Linked DNA regions of Coturnix japonica. The protein of the gene in region 2 purifies or fractionates together with the protein of the main gene of each other region. This does not show direct contact. Links are inferred from orthologs where the notes say so. Each region holds a gene or a part of one and is shown on either strand. Other genes may lie near its edges.

Evidence for each region.
Region 1: the proteins of EXOC5 (region 2) and EXOC2 fractionate together in Homo sapiens (co-fractionation; 4 studies listed by BioGRID and IntAct, with this or other methods). This does not show direct contact. The link is inferred for Coturnix japonica from reciprocal best matches to the Homo sapiens genes EXOC5 and EXOC2.

Annotation. Positions count from the first base shown.
Region 1 is NC_029517.1:62,005,977-62,014,269, reverse strand, and holds part of EXOC2 (exocyst complex component 2), read right to left. Parts: intron 8,142-8,293; coding exon 8,039-8,141; intron 5,525-8,038; coding exon 5,406-5,524; intron 1-5,405. UniProt on the Homo sapiens protein: Component of the exocyst complex involved in the docking of exocytic vesicles with fusion sites on the plasma membrane.
Region 2 is NC_029520.1:50,523,982-50,532,032, reverse strand, and holds part of EXOC5 (exocyst complex component 5), read right to left. Parts: intron 6,334-8,051; coding exon 6,225-6,333; intron 5,949-6,224; coding exon 5,828-5,948; intron 5,094-5,827; coding exon 5,007-5,093; intron 3,310-5,006; coding exon 3,201-3,309; intron 2,666-3,200; coding exon 2,450-2,665; intron 1,644-2,449; coding exon 1,455-1,643; 3' UTR 1-1,454. UniProt on the Homo sapiens protein: Component of the exocyst complex involved in the docking of exocytic vesicles with fusion sites on the plasma membrane.

The DNA.
Region 1 (8,293 bases), on a different chromosome or scaffold from region 2:
GGGCCCTTGTCCTGTGCTGCAGCCTGACCACCCACTGTTGCTTGTTGACCAAACACGCGGTGCCTGGAGCCTGCACTGACACAACCAGGATAAGATTCCTTTCAAGGACGCCGCAGAGAGAATTTCAATTTGTCTGGGCAAGAAATTAGGCGAGCAGAAGAAATTACCTAAAAATTAACCTGCTCAGCAGATGAATGACTGCATTTTCTTTTCCTTGAGTACCTTTTCCTTACTAGCATTACTAGCAAAGAAATAGGTGTGGGGATAAAATTGCTTCAATTTTAAGGAAAGAACATTTCAGGAACACATTGAAAAACGAACATTTTAAAAAATATTTTTAAAATCTTAAGGCTAGTCTTTGTTATCCCAGTTGTAGAATGAAACCATTTTTTTGGTTCACCACAAAAAAGGGCAATTGGGTATACTGTTATTTTCAGAGGCGTTCTAAGTATTTCACAACCTAAGGGTAAACCTTACTGTCAGTCCCGCAGGCCAAAATACACTGAAGCAAAAGCCAAATACTTCAAGCTCAGTGTATAAACAAAAGTGATGTCATTTTACTACACCAGCTCCAATGATCTTCACTTAGATCTGCACTATGATCTTCAGTGACTCTGAAAACAGTTTGCTTCTACTTCATTTCCTGTGTAGTGATTTAAAAGATTCAAGAAGACACCAAGGTAAAATTCTGGCCAGAGGATAGATTCCTTTATTTTCAGTGTTACCATTTCTTTTTCAGCTTTGCTTTAAAACTACACGTGCTTCTTTTTAATCACAGTATTTAATATCTGCACGAGATAGGTTCTTACTATTTAAAGTATTAGATAAAGAACAGTGCGCCCCCGCCAATCCCCACCAAAAATCTAAACAACAACAAAGTTACAGGCACAGGTGGTAAAAGACAAAAACAAATCTGGTGTCAAATTTTGCACTGATTAATTTTTAAAATTTAATTAATAACCCATTAAGGGTTTGCTTGACATCTGCTGTCAAAAGAGTATTTCTGCTACGGACAGGGGATGTAGTTTAGACATGAAATGGTTCCCAGCTGCAAGAAGTCTTCTTCCAGATGTACAGTAAGCAAAGGCAATGGAAGAGAACCAGCTGCTAGGATAACAAATTGAAAAGGCCCTTTTGACACAAGCCTTGCTGGTATGCCTGATCTAACAAAGATAGATCATTCATTGCGTGGTGAAAAAAATCTCAGTGTGGCACAGAAGACAGACCATTGCAGTTTAAGTATCCATCTCCCTTCTTCATGCTACATACAACTGCTGTTATATCCTGGCTCAAAAAGCACTTGCTTGTACAATATTCTGAGTGCTGCAAAAATTGCCTTCTTTCAACAGTTAGAACAACAAAAACCCCATCACTATGACTGAACTATTATACTTGAGTATCAAGAACTACCTCTATGTTGGGAACACTGAAAACATATTTTGCAGACTGAAGGGCAGTAGAAAGACCACGCTACCACTTTCTTAGTGTTTCCACGCGCAGGTTTGGTTTCTTAAGGGTATTAACAGCTTATATACTCTAAAATTACACATATCACAAAAAGACCAGTTAGAAGATGCTTTCAGTCAGTTTGAAGATAACTGTCCCTATCCATTTTAGCTTAGATGATCATGAAACCTGTCCAGCCAATACTGAAGGCTAAGCAGTAACCATTGGCCACACAGGAAACGGTCCAATCTCCATAGCTTCTTTTTCTGGTACTCACAGTATGAATCTCATTGCTTGATTCATTTTGGCTAGCTGCCTAGTGCCCCAGGCAGATTTTCAACTAAACCTCATATATTTACATCTATTTTCATGCCATTTTACATTATTATATCCTCCAGGTTTCCTGTACTCCAACAAGTCTGAAAAGCTGAAGACCATACTAAAGATCTAAAATTATGCCCCAAAACTAGGGGAATTGCCAAATAAAGTTAAAAATTACAAATATAACAATTTTTTAATTGAAGGAAACTGTTTTGTATCCAGATACCAGGTCTGAAAGTCCTCAGGCTTCTCCCTGTCTTAGTTCAAAGCTCAGAAGAAGTAACTCAGGATTTAGCCAAAAAAAGGCACAAAATATCATCAGCACAATTCAGTTTGTCATCCACGTACCTCTTGCTAGACATACTAGAAATACCACTTCGAGTATATTGGTTCTCTATGTTAAATTTTATATTTGTAGCCACCAGAAGTATTCATTTTCCTTGTTTTAGTCTCATCTGTATCTTCTTAACAAATAACTGTATATGAAGTAAAAGCAGCAAACCAGCTTTATCTACCTCAGAACCTTCCAGCAGGCAGCAATAGCAGAGAGCAATCAGATTTATATGGTTTCTGTTATTGCTTCAGGAAATCACAATCGTAATTTAAAAAAATGCCATTTACAAAGGGGCACTCATTAGACAAAGGTAATGAATCCACACAGAAAAGTACATTTACTTCTTGTCAATACTGGAGCTTTGTCTTGACTGTCATTACTAGTGGCCCAGACAAGACAATACATTGACGCAACCTCTTAGCGAAGATAGGAGTAGATCCTATTTCTCTGTATGAAAAAACTAAGCGTTAAGTCTCAATGGTCATCCTCCTGGTACTGCGTAAACAACTTGGAATGCACTGTTAGTTTGTTATCAATGGGTATATTTGGACTAAGTACTCTTTAGAATGCATTTGGTTTTGTTTTTTAGCCTGTTTCGGAAATAATTACAATGATAGCCACCCTTTCCCGAATCATGACCCACAAATTCTTTGAGAACGTTTGGAGATTCACAGTTAGCTACCAAACTCTGCTCCAAGAATGTTAATAGAAGACTTCTCCAGATAAGAAAAGCAAAGTTTCTTGTCTAATTCCAAATCCATTTCAGGTAGTAAAATTCATCATGTATAACAACTTACAGCTCCAGTGTGTTTCCAAAACTATTAAGTCAGCAGCAAAATTATTTGGCACAAACTCAACAGAAAGTTGAAAAATAAAACACAAGTATCTATTTATGCATTTGTATGCAATTTGTTACTCCACTGAAGAGCTTTGATTCAGTTAGCTTGAACCAACAGAAAAACTGCTAATATCAGCCACAAATGTTGGTACATTCAAGGTGGGACTATTCACATACTCTAGCAGACACCATCTGCTAGAAACAAAGGATATTATCCGTACTGAGGAGAGAAACCTAGGAAAATATCTAATGCATTTGTCAAGAGGCTGTCAACATTATGACCCACCTCCTCCTCCAAATACTTCATGTTCAAAACCTTTTCTGGAAGCATATTTTAAGGAAACTAGTCTGAAAATTTACTACTGTTATGTTATAAAAATAACTTCTGAGTTTATGAATGTATAAAACCTATTTCTGATTTCAAGTTGATTTGAGTCCTTGAAGTCATGCAAAACCAATTTGATATCTGAGCGAAAAAAAACACTCTTTTCCTTCTAGAAAATTATGCATCAGTGAAAGTAGATGAAAATAAATTCCATGTCTCAGATCACAGTCAGCACTGTTCTGCTTGGCAGTTAATACCAACTCTTCCAAGTTTCCTCTTTGCCTTCTCCCCTCTGGTGTATGTTAAAATTAAAGATCCGTGGAAAGAAGAAACTGAGTTTAGCAACTTTCCTTTGCTCAAGCTGATATTGAATGGGGAATACTATGAATCAGGATCAATATAATGTGCGCAAAAACTAAGGACCATAGAAAAGGATGAAAGAAAACTATTTAAATGATACTAGCTTTTTAAAATAAAAGTCATACTATATTAGCATTTTTTTTTTCATGCAAATATTAACTATTCATACATGCATTTACTGGGCAGACAAGTTATGCAAATTTCTCCATCTGTGAGCCAAACAAAGCTGCTAACATAATAAGTTCCTTTGATATTAAGGCTGAGGTAAGCAGAATTGTTGCAAGAAAAACACCAAAAAGGTTAAGATTTTCAAGACAAGCCGTGGAATTTAGGTCCATTTTTGATTAATTACTGGACCATGCACATCAATATTATATAGACTACTACAACAAAGAAGTCACAAGTATTTAACATCTTTGTGCCCCTATTTTTTCTCTTAGATAAGAAGCTAAGGGATTGGTATATAATGTTTTGCAACTGAAAGGAGAAAAAGATAGTTTAGAATCATTAATATTGGCCATTTTCACTAGTGAATTTTGCCCTTCACGGATATATACTGCAGGGTCGGGTCTCTCAGGTTTTTGGGAAGGATGAGAGATGGTGAGGTTTTGGAAATGTTCTGGATTTTGACTATGAGTACAAGAAATCAGCCTCGCATTCCAGCTGGTCCCATAGCACTCAATAACGTGTTGTAGCAAAAAAAAAAGTCCATGTATACTTCAAGCTACAACTTACTGACATCACTGTCACATTAAGCACACTGCGAACCCTATACCTGAAGTTGTAATCTCTGCTGAAGAACAAAATGCGAGAATCTTGCAGCAATTAATTTCACAGCACTTATCTGCCACAGCTCTGACTAAGAAAAATTACTGTGCTTCTCAGAAGAGAACATCTTAGTTGGCTTGGGATAAACAGCAACAAAACTAAACACGGGAATTACTACTCATTTTAGGAAAATCAGTAAACTTGTTAAGACTACTTGAGAAACAACACAGTATTTTCAATTTCTAATCCAGGTTATAGATTTAACTCCTAGAAACACCAGGTCTGTAGTTTCCTGCCAATTCCCTTTTGAAAATACAAAGATGTGATGGATTATGACTGGTAGCTCAATTGCTGCCACACCTTTGAAGCATCTATGAGGGTGCATTTCTTCAAGGAACAACACTGGCAGAACTAGACAGAATACAGCTAAATATTCATATAGCTCTTAATGTAAAATAGACAAACTGAATACTTAAGATAATCTCACAGGTCTGTGTTTGAACAAAAAGAATCAGTTTTGAAACTGCACTGGCAAAAAAGAGTAAGAGAACCCTGTGTTATCATTTACTGCATGTCAAGAAATTAGACTTTATCACATGGTACTTTGATGTCCTTCATAACAATACACTACTAGTATACTGTACGAAGAAGAATATAAATGGTGGATTTAACGTGACTTTCTAGTACTATTTCTAGATAGTGGATGGAGGACTATTTCTGGAGGACTGTAAACCTCAAATATACGACTGAAATTTAATGCTTTTCCCATTTAAGAAGCTTACAAGTTCTAAGTTAAAAAATAAAAAAATAAAAAAAATTCTAACAGATACTTTCCTTTTATAATAAAGAAAAAAATATATAGTTCAATATTTAGCTTTGTGAAAAGCTATCAAAATTAAGCAGAGAACAACAACAACCAAAAGCATCATTCACACACTAAAACTTGTCAAAGAAAAGGCAATGCCAAATTCCTAAGTGTCAAATACATATAAGTAACAAAAACATATCCTTGCCTTTTTGCTCTTTAACATAGCTCTCCTTACAGTTGTGCATGAGCTGTAGAATCCACTGATGCTGAGCACCGATGCACTGCCAAGCAGGGTCCCCAGGCGCATGAAGATCAGAAAGATATCTGCAAAATCCAGTCCAAAAATCACAGCTCTGACTTGACACATTAAAGGCCTCATTAAAACAGAAATATCTTCATATGTATTTATACACACATATACACAGAGATGTATAATTTTAAAAATTCAAGAACTTGTACCCAATGCAAATGCAAACTTTGCATTCTCACTTCCTAATTTAGTGAAGCAAAATTCTACTAAAAAACCCTTATAATAATATACAAAAGCACATACACTGAAAATCAGATTAGGTACGTATTTTCTGTTGTGCCTCTAGAAGTGTTCTCTGGTAACCAAGATTTTTATCTGTCAAAGTTGCAGATCAGTATTTCATGTTTCACTTGAAACCTCTGATGACATCTCAAGCATATAAAATATGGTACTTTGCTCCCCACTTTGCACGTATCAATTGGAACAGGAAAGTACAGAAGGAACTAATTTTTGGTGGCTCATTAATCCAACCATGGACATGCATAGGCAAATATAAACTAAGCCCCTGGTTGTTGTTTTTTATTTTCCATTAGGTTGTGCGCACACTGTGGGACTGCATCTTATTTATATGTATATATATATACACTCACAAACACAGGTTGCTCCAAAAGTAATGCCTCTCCTGTTTATTTCCATGGAAACTACAACTGCTACGAAGAGCAAATTCTCAGCTACAAAACACTATTTTTCAACACAGTCACCACCATTACTTCTGTATTTTCACCAGTAATGAACATGTGCCTTCATGCTGTGCTCTCAAATATCTGTCCCAGTGGAAGCAACTCACTGTCACCACTGCTGAAATGCATCACCCACTGCCTCACTGTACTCACATCTACTATTTGCTCCCCAGAAAAGCTGAGGAACACCAATGAATGTCAGTGGGTGCCATTTTTTCCTCACATGGAGGAATTTAATGGCACACCTTTGTTTCATGCTTTTGTGTCCACTGCCTCTCTGTTGCCCTCTGTCATATGGCAACAAATATTACAGAGTATTGGTGGGATTGCCATACCACCACCATCTCCATTATATTCTGCATTAAAAACACAGGACAAATTCAAAAATGCAAGATGCTCAAGATGAAATACACTAACTTCTCTTAAGCAGTGCAGTGAGCGTTTTAACTCCTTCACAGAAGTGATGTTACTATAATAACACCTAAGGTTAATTACGAATGCATTGCAAAAATTCGTCTTCCTTGTCTGCAGTACTTTCATGAACAAAATGAACTGTCAAAGGACAATTGGTGGGATAGATGAGAACATTACACAACCAACCATTTTGACAGGGTGGTATTTATAAACTATGAGCTCATGTCTTTCCTTAACATTTAGGGGGACTTTAGTCATTGTTTAGACACAATATTTAATAAATAAATAAATAAATAAATAAATACGCATATATCACTAGCACTGGAAATAATGCATCTTCTTGCTTGTTCAGCGATATGTTAAACATTACCTTAAAAGTATAAAAACAAAAAAGTTATTTTTAAGGTTTTTCAAGACTAAAATAGAAAGAAAGAAACAGTAGCTTTTTCAAGACACACAAAATGTTTAACACTCCTCATCTTAAAATGTAACTCTAACAAATATGCAATATTTACACGGCACCTAGAAGAATGAGAAGGACTAAATGCACACTGGTCACTGTCCTCATAAACTAACAAAGTAAAAGGGCAGAAGACTCCAGCATTCCCTGCCTGTGAAACTGGGCTGGGTGAACACAAAAAAACATTAAAGACCTCACACAGGTGTCAGATTTCTAAGAATGCTACCTGCATATTGCATTCGGTCTTCAACTTTTAAGATAAGTGGAAAAAAAACACTGAGAATATCAAGCCACACTGGGAGTCCTACCAACACTCAGGGCTCAAAAGCTTGCTAGTAACGTCGTCAAATGTTTCAGAGCATTCTAAATTCTGTTCCCAAGGATTGTAAAGAAGGCTAAGGTCTACTGTTAGGATAAGGTCCGAGCAACTCATGTTAGTAATCCTACCATTGGCTTGGACATAACCTTACAGAATGAGAGCAAATATAGGAATTTTAATGAAAAGTAGAAAAATGGTAAATGTTCATGAAATGTAAAGGACATTCATTATTTAGAATGAATAGTAAAAGAGTCAAAAACAAATTTAAACTCAATTCTGGATTAAAAACTTTCTATTATCTGACTCAAAATGATGCATTTTTAACACCACGCTGAAATGGAGCACAAGTTAATATGCAGTCTATTTTGAGATCTGCATCTTACAAAGGATCATTTCATACATAGCTTACAATGAGATGATTTAGAAGAAGAAATGAACATACCTTTATGATTTTTAAAAATTACAATCTCGATCACTCCATAAACAATCAAACATCAATCCAAAATCATTATATATTCAAAAAATCACAACACAATCTACTTTCAGCTTTAAAAGCAGTATTCAAACTATCATAAAAAAATAGTAACTACCCTATTTAGGAAACAATAAATATCTAATATCATAAATCCAAAGAAGACAAAAGTTGAATGACTACCTTATATAACGTTTCTGATCATGCAGTGTTGATGGAGTTTCAAGGAGTTTATCCAACAGAAGTTCTCTTAAAGCTTCTATTCTGGTTTCAACTTCAGCATAATCTAGGAGTGAGGAGAGGAAATAAATCTCACCCGTGCCTTCAGTAGTAGCATGAACTGAAAATTACATTATTTTTCTAGGACATCAGACACTTTTGGATTTATTATGGGAAAAAAATTAAATATGTACCTGACATTTTCATATACAACAGTTC
Region 2 (8,051 bases):
TCTGTCAATACTGACTACACCTGGGAAGTCATGAATGAGAATTATTTTATTTGACCGACCCATAAAGTAAACCTACAGAATTGCTGCTCTGAAGATGGGAGAGAAAGGTTTTCATAATGCACGCTGAGCCCACAGTAGAAAGAACAGTGTTACAGGTGATCTGTTAGGGTACGATGTGAGTCAGATTGAAGACACGATCCAAAGCAGTTCCAACCTGTTTTCCATGAGTCTGTTCTGAACAAAGATCTATTTACAACAGTTTTCAACTGCTTGAGGAAAAGCTACCCTGGATTTCAAATCACCAGTGCTTCAATTCTCTCTTTGCACACAACGGGTCCATCTCGGAAGCACCTTGAATAAATACGCTGTAGTAGAACTGATGCAGAAGTAGTCTGTCCCCAGTGTTAAAATTACGAGCAGTGGAAGAGAAGCTTTTGCACGCTTCGACATTTCATATTGCTCAGGCACCAAGGATCAGTTATCATCAGCACAGTACATTTCACCCTTAGGTTTTCACCAGTGCTGCAGTCCATTCCTCCCGTAGATAAATGAACACTTGGGCTACGTTTTTATCCTTTCACTTGTTATAATCTGAATTCATTTATATATACAAAACGAGAGACAGGAAAAAGTTGTATTAATCCAACCACAGGCACCTTCACCTTGTAGTGACAAAGCCTAGACAAGGCAGCTGCACTTACTTCAGGAGCATCTATCAAATTCAGTGTTCCAATACCAAACAGAGAGAAACAAGAATGTCAGGTCATACAACGCCAATACTTTTCAGTGGGCCCTTGACTGTTAGGTGCAAAACCCCCCCAAAACCAAAGAACCGAAAAAGAAAATCTTTCCACAATATTAGTTATGTTTAGAATGCTACACAATGAATAAATTACATCTTTGTGGGATACTGTTCCTTTTACTTCTGTATCTCAAAGAAATTCCCAACTAATTAATTAGAGCAAGAAATTACATTGAGCAGGATAACGTTTTAAAATGAAAGAAATGATTCAGAAACACCAATCAAAGATAATTTGATTATGATTAGCTGTGCTGAAGTCTAAGTCATTAAAATTGATGGAGGATGTTGTTACACTGGTCTATTCTATGTAATCCATTACCTACGCTACGCTCTGTAGTTCAACTCCAACAAATGGTATCTGATGATTCAATATTGAAGACTATGATACTTTCCATGTGCCACTTGCTTTCCCACACCAACATGTCCAATAAAAAAAAGAATCAGTAGCGAGTAGTTCTGCAAAAATTCATCACTAGGAGAACTTTAGCTAACACATCATTCCGATTTTTACCTGCTAGCATTCTACATGTCTAAATATGGCTGTTTGATTCTGAACAGTCATTATTCCACAAAAGTTACAGCTGTGGTTTGGTAAGAAATCATTCCCTGTGCTTTCTGAGGCCTGCCCATAGGTACATTTTCTCCTGTGCTCTCAGCTGAAGTGACGAGCAAGACGTGCAGACCTATAATCAACACGCAGCTGAACAAAGGAGTGAAGGATGTTCTTGTCCAGATTAGCAAGTTGTTCACCCGAGCAAACTTGCTTTAAGTTATCCGGGGCTACAACCAGAAGATTGCAAAGTGCATGCAAAGTATCAAAGAGCTGCAACACCAGCGCAATCTGTGGTTAAGAAAAGAAAAAGAAAGAAAAAAAAGAGGTATTAAGAGTAAAAACTGACCTAGGTCTTAAAACACAACATCCATCAAGATTCTCAAAAGACATCTCCCCTATAGAGAATACATCTCAGTCATTCTGTGTATAAATATATAGAGGCACGTGGAATGATAGCAAAAAAAAACCCAAGCACAATTACAAAATAACTAAGCTAGCTTGCTATTTCTCACTGTATGCATATGTTGTTTTAAGTACAAATCTATACTGCGACTTAAAAATCTATTGAGCTGCTTACAAAGACACAAACTGAAGGCTACAAAGATGCTTTTGATTTCTTTCCTCAAGACATCAGTGAGAAAACTAAGGGAGGGATGATGGTTTGTTTGTTTGTTTTTAAGACTAGTCCAGAAAAAAACTCATTGATACCAACACACATGCAATAAAAAAAGGTGGTAATTTTGATAATAGTCATTGGGAAAAAACAAAGCACTTGAAGCAAGAGAATCACAGGTCTTGGCCAGAAAGCAAATCTTAGCTTTTGTTTCAATACAAAACTATATCTAGAATAGACTAAATGCTTCCTCAGTGTATATACATATATAGTCTGCAAGCAACAAAATGGTATTAGGAGACTGCTCTTTAAGAAGTGATAAAGTACTACTAGCACAGTTAACAGCACATATAACATCAGCATATGAAATGCTGATGTTCAAACAGAAAGATTATTTTAACGAAAACTTCTCAGAAGAAATGGTAAAATATCATCTAACCAACCATCATGGCTGTACATCACCAACATACACATGACTTACCTTGAAGTCTTTGGCACACTTTCTGTACTCAGCCACGTCACAAATAGCTAACATGCCACCCATGCAGCTGTAGGAATATTGCTGCAGGTGTTCGTAGATGAGTCGATGGAAACGAACTCCAAGCTCCATCAAAACCGTGTCCACGTTCTTACCATCCATAGACTTCCGAATCTTTTCCACCTGTTTTCTAACATAGCTGCAGACTTTAACACAAGCCTTAGGAAAAAGAATAATTTAAATTATAATCAAGAAACCTGTTCTCATTAAGTGCCTTCTATGTAAGCTGAACATTAATTAGTAAGTTCTTTAAAATTCCTACAGTGCAACATCATCTGTTACCTTCCAGTTAATAATTCCAACAGGTTTTCACTTGCCAGAGACACAAGTATGCATAAAAAAGAAGGATGCAAGACAACATTCCACCAAATTAAACTTTGTGTCAGTTCAGATTAGTCTGCACTGTTAATTTAAGCAACAATTAACAAAGGGGGGGACAATCAAGACAACTAAAACCTCGGCAGCTGTAGTTGTAAACCCAATTTAACAGCCATCTTCACTCTTCCCACACACTACCAGCCTCTACAACCAACTGCTCCACTCTTCCCATTTTCACCCAGCTTCATATATTCAGATATATTCCCCCCATTAACAACAGTTTGTTCTCTACTTCTCTCTATTTTGCTCCTTTGTGTTTGATATCAATCAAGTGCATTTCAAGCTATACTGATGAGCTGGAACTTAATTTACTTACGTTAGTATACTGAATCAAAACGTTGTTTTCATCCTCTGGCTTAAAATCTGTCTTTTTCTGCTCTGCAGCCAAGATGTGCTTCATCTGTCCAATCATACAATTCAATGTCCTGTAAAGTTACAAAGAACACTCAAGGTTTTGAAGGGAATGTTCTCATTTCCTTGATTTTTATATTTACATATTGTAAAGTGGCCTTATACAAAAGCATGTAGCATATAACAACGAGGAAAAAACCTCACTGCTTAACATTTCATCTATAGAATATATACCAATGGCAAACATGGAAAACGAGGGATTGAAGTTACAGTGCAATTCTCTAAAAAAGACAAGCTTGATTTTAAGAAAGCCATTAAGAAAAACAGTAGGAGGGAAAAAACAAACAAGCAACCATGCTGGCCAGTTGGTCTTAAAGGGGACACATTAACTGTGAAGTAACCAACTCAATTCCAGCTCTTCAGTGGAACTGGATAACATCCTTCATTGCTGAGGGAATGAGACAGACAAAGGAAGAGTTCCAAATGCTTATTTTAGTAGAATTAGATAACACCGTGCATTATTCAGCAGCAAGCATCAGAAAACATTGGTAAAGTGAAATAAAAGGAAGGACAGGGGAAGAATATTTAAGTCCCAAAAGGCAGTAAGTGGATCCTTTAAAACTCCCTTTCTATGCATAGAGACTCAAATCTGCATTTCAGGTGTACCACAGTCAACGATCTACGTGCAAACAAATTACAGCCTCTTAAATTTCTGTTTTCAATAAATACTCCCAAGAGGCTGTTTGCACAGAATACAAACTGACAGAAAGCCATTAGAGCTACTTTTGGTTGACTCGTAAATCACTTCTGCAGAGGCAGGCAATTTTTGTGAATACCATTCCAGAAGCTCCTGTAGGACTCATTCAGACTGCACAGTGTTGATGCCTTTAACTCTAGAAATTACTTGTATTAGCAATTTCAGCATTAGAAATTGCTTTATTTTTCAAACTAGATCATTCCTTTCGGCAAGGCAATCAATTCTTAGCAGCAGGGGTACGACAAAGCAGCATGTAAGCAAGAACACACATTTTACATGTAACATTCATCTGAAAGCTAACCTCTCCTTTACCTGTAAAAGTGCCAGTGTTTATGAAGACTCCATCCACAAACCTTTGAGCACACTGTTTTCCAACAGGGACTTGTTCTCCTAAGTCTTACTACCACTTTTAAGACATTATTTGCTTGACACAGTTATAAACTATTCTAACGTTTGGACTGACCCATGCCTGTCTAGAACCAAGCTTATGGTCACTGTGGTTCAAGTATTTCAAGCTTTGCATTTAAGCCTGTTCCAGTAGGAACAGCTAAAATCTCAATCGTTACACACATATGTTCCATCCCCACTATTCTTTCTGCACCTGCAGAAAATGCCTTTAAGAAACAACTTGCAGAGCATTCTGGAAATACATACAATCTCTCTCCTATCTCCACAGGAATCACCCTATAGGACACAAATACAATGCCTACTTTTCCCATACAGTGCTGCTCTCAGCCCTTTCCAGTGTGGAGTGACAGTAAGGTAAAACAGAATGAGTGCACTCTCAACATAACAGAATTATTTACTACCGTCTTTCTTAGGTAAGGTCAGAAAACTGCCACATAAATATGACCCTCTAAACAAACAAAATCTAAGTTTCGTGCATAGAATAACGTAGAAAAAAGAAATAACTTTGTGTTCAGAAAGATTTAATCCAGAAAAGGGAACCAAATAATAGATCCCAAAGGAGTTTTAAAAGAATTGGTGGTTAATAAAGTTTAAATCTCTACTTGCCGATCAATGCCCATATCCAGCTTCACTTCCATTTGTTCTATGATATCCTTTTTCTTCTGAAGGCATTCAGATAGTTTAGGAGACGAACTGCAACAGCATAAGGAGTTATGTGAGAAAGGGTCAGAGTACCAAAACAAATCTGTTTGCTGGGACTGCTTCTTAAATCAGGGATGTGTGAATATTTCCTGTTCCACAGAAAAGGACTAATTTAGGTGGAGTTAGCTGGCTTCAGATCAACACATCCATAGCCGTGTGACCCCAAGCAGAATTTGTGGAGCACTGACTGGCACGGAACTGATTCACAACACATCAGTGTGCTCTACCTTGAGCATATCCAACCAGCAGCTCGTAACATGTCCATGTAATTCACATGTTGCTCCATGGCATGGCCAGCTTCTTCCCCTGCAGAGACTCTGCAATCTCTGCATCCCTGACATCTCCAGCTCACTCCAAGATGCAGCCATAAAACCACCACTAGCCCAGTAAAATGCAGCAGCAAGATCTCTGCAAAGCAACTTGTCCCTCATGCCTATCAGTATTCTCAATGCCTCTCCCCCCTTGGTTATCTAAGCTATCTCTGGTTAGGCTGAGGTTGGACTTGATGATCTTCAAGGTCTTTTCCAACCTGGGTAATTCTATGATTCCAAGTGTAACTTCCCTTCCTCCTCCCCCCCATGAGAGTATTTCATCTTCCTGCAACATCAAGCTGAACCACTCCAAGAATAAACTCTTCTTAACAGAGATGAGGAAAGGAAAAAAAGCCTGCTCTGTTCACCAAAAATTACCATTCACCGTGGAAATGCAGATCAAAATAAAAGTACCTGATTAATGGCATCAAATGATCATTGAACTGTTTGTCAAACAAATGGAAAATAGTATTGGCCTGGTGGACAACATCCAAGAAATAAAGATTTGCGTTCTTTGAATCAGAGGAGGGAATGCCTAAAGGAAAGAAGGATTCATTAATACCATAACGATACACAGTTCTTTAATTAGAATGATATTTTAAATATGCAGATTTTGCCACGAGTGCTAAAATCACATGCTAAATGTTGGAAACGTTCACCGTGGTGCCATGTACAGAATACTTCTCATAGGTTTCACTTAACCAATACATTTTGAACATGACCAATCAATAAGGCTCTGCAAAGGACCTGCAAAGATGATCTCCACAAAAAGGCCAGTGAGATGAAGTGCTCAAAAAAATATTATACTCACCAGCAAGGCCTGTTTCTAATGCATAATCAATGTGTTCAGTGCATAAGAACTCTACAAGCATAGAAAAAATCCTGAAGGCGTTCTTCGGTAAGTCAGATGGATCAGAGAGCTTAAAAGAAAAAGAAGAACTTTCATTCTAAAGGTCAGTTTTACATATATTTGAAAGTTTACCCAATATCGAGTAGAGGATAAGCTTAAAGTGTAACAAGTATTTCAGAAAAACTGGAATTTCTTTTTAAATTAAAAGCATCCGCACAGGGAACTATTGAGGAACAGCCTTTAGTATCAACAAACTCTTTGGTACTAACAGGTAAAATGAAGACAATATGCTGCAGGGTGCAACGGAAAGCAAAAATATACAGAGCTTCTAATAATGGCAGTGATAATAAATGAAGGAAGGCATTAATACAGTTGTAAAAACACAAACATCCAGCTGTGATTTCTGTAATCACCAAAACCACACACTGCTCAGGACTGAAATGAGGTACCTGGTAAAGGTGACTCAATACAACCCTGCCTTTTTTCACTGAGTTTTTGCCATTGACCACAGCTAGAGACAGTGCAGCTGTTCTAGCACTGTCTCAGTGCCTCAGAAAAAAAACAATACAGTCTGAACTGCGGTGACATTTATCACAGTTCAGCTGGAGCCAACAGAGCATGAAAATTTTATTAAGTGAAGTGCCCCCATGTACACAGAGCATCTCTACCTTCATGAACTAGAAGCAACACAGGATTTGGGGCAGCAACTTGTCTGCAAATCCATTTTCTAAAGAAAAACATGACAGGGCTTTTGCATGCAAAAAAATAGAGCTTTGGTTTTCAAGGAATTAAGTGGAGGCTTTCAGAAGATTGGAGTATGATTAATATTGCAATTAAGGTCAATTTGCACAAGAACACTCCAAGAGATTTCCACAGGATACCTAAAAAATAAACAAAAAACCCTACCCTGTTAGGGACATTTCCAAGCACAGAAATGTTTCAATACATGGTTAGGTAGGAACCATCAGCCTTGTTCTCCTAAATCAGTCATGGTTGGGACACATAACATACCAGTGTGCATCTGTCATACAATGAAGTATTCCAGTTTGCTAGCCAGTCATAGAATGGCCCAGGCTGGAAAGGACCACAAGGATCATGAAGCTCCAACCCCTTTACCACAGGCAGGGCCACCAACCTCCATGTTTAATACCAGACCAGGCTGCCCACAGCCCCATCCAACTTGGTCATGAACAGCTCCACGGATGGGGCATGAATGGGCCAGTACTTAACTGTTCCTTTGCAAAGTGAATTGCTCTGATCACAAACACAATCTCAGCAGCATATGGCGACACAAAAGGTTTTTAATGTGCCTGTAATTCTGAAAGTCTCCTTATTTCCGAAGATCCATTTTGCACTCAACTGGTTTTCCCAATGTAACATATGCAATTGGTTTTAGAACAAGAAAAACCTGACCCTAACAGAGGGGGGGAAAAAAAGTATGCAAAATAGGAAGTTTGTACTATGATTTTAACAAGTTCCTAGCACCAACCACACTGAGAAAAAGGAAAAGATGATCTACCTGCATTCACTGACTTCCACCACTAAGAATGTGGTCATCCCTACATGTACAGGTAATACCATGCTGTACCTATATTTTGTTACATGCCTGCCGCCCTCTCACAATGTTGAATATTAAAGTTTCTGAATAAAGAAGGTTAGAACCTCTTCTACATTACGCTAATTTAGAATGTCAGAGGTATCTAAACTATTGTTAGGAATAGCTGTGTTCAGCTATGAAATATTCCCTAGAAATTTACTAAAGTATCCAATTCAATTTCATGGGTTTTC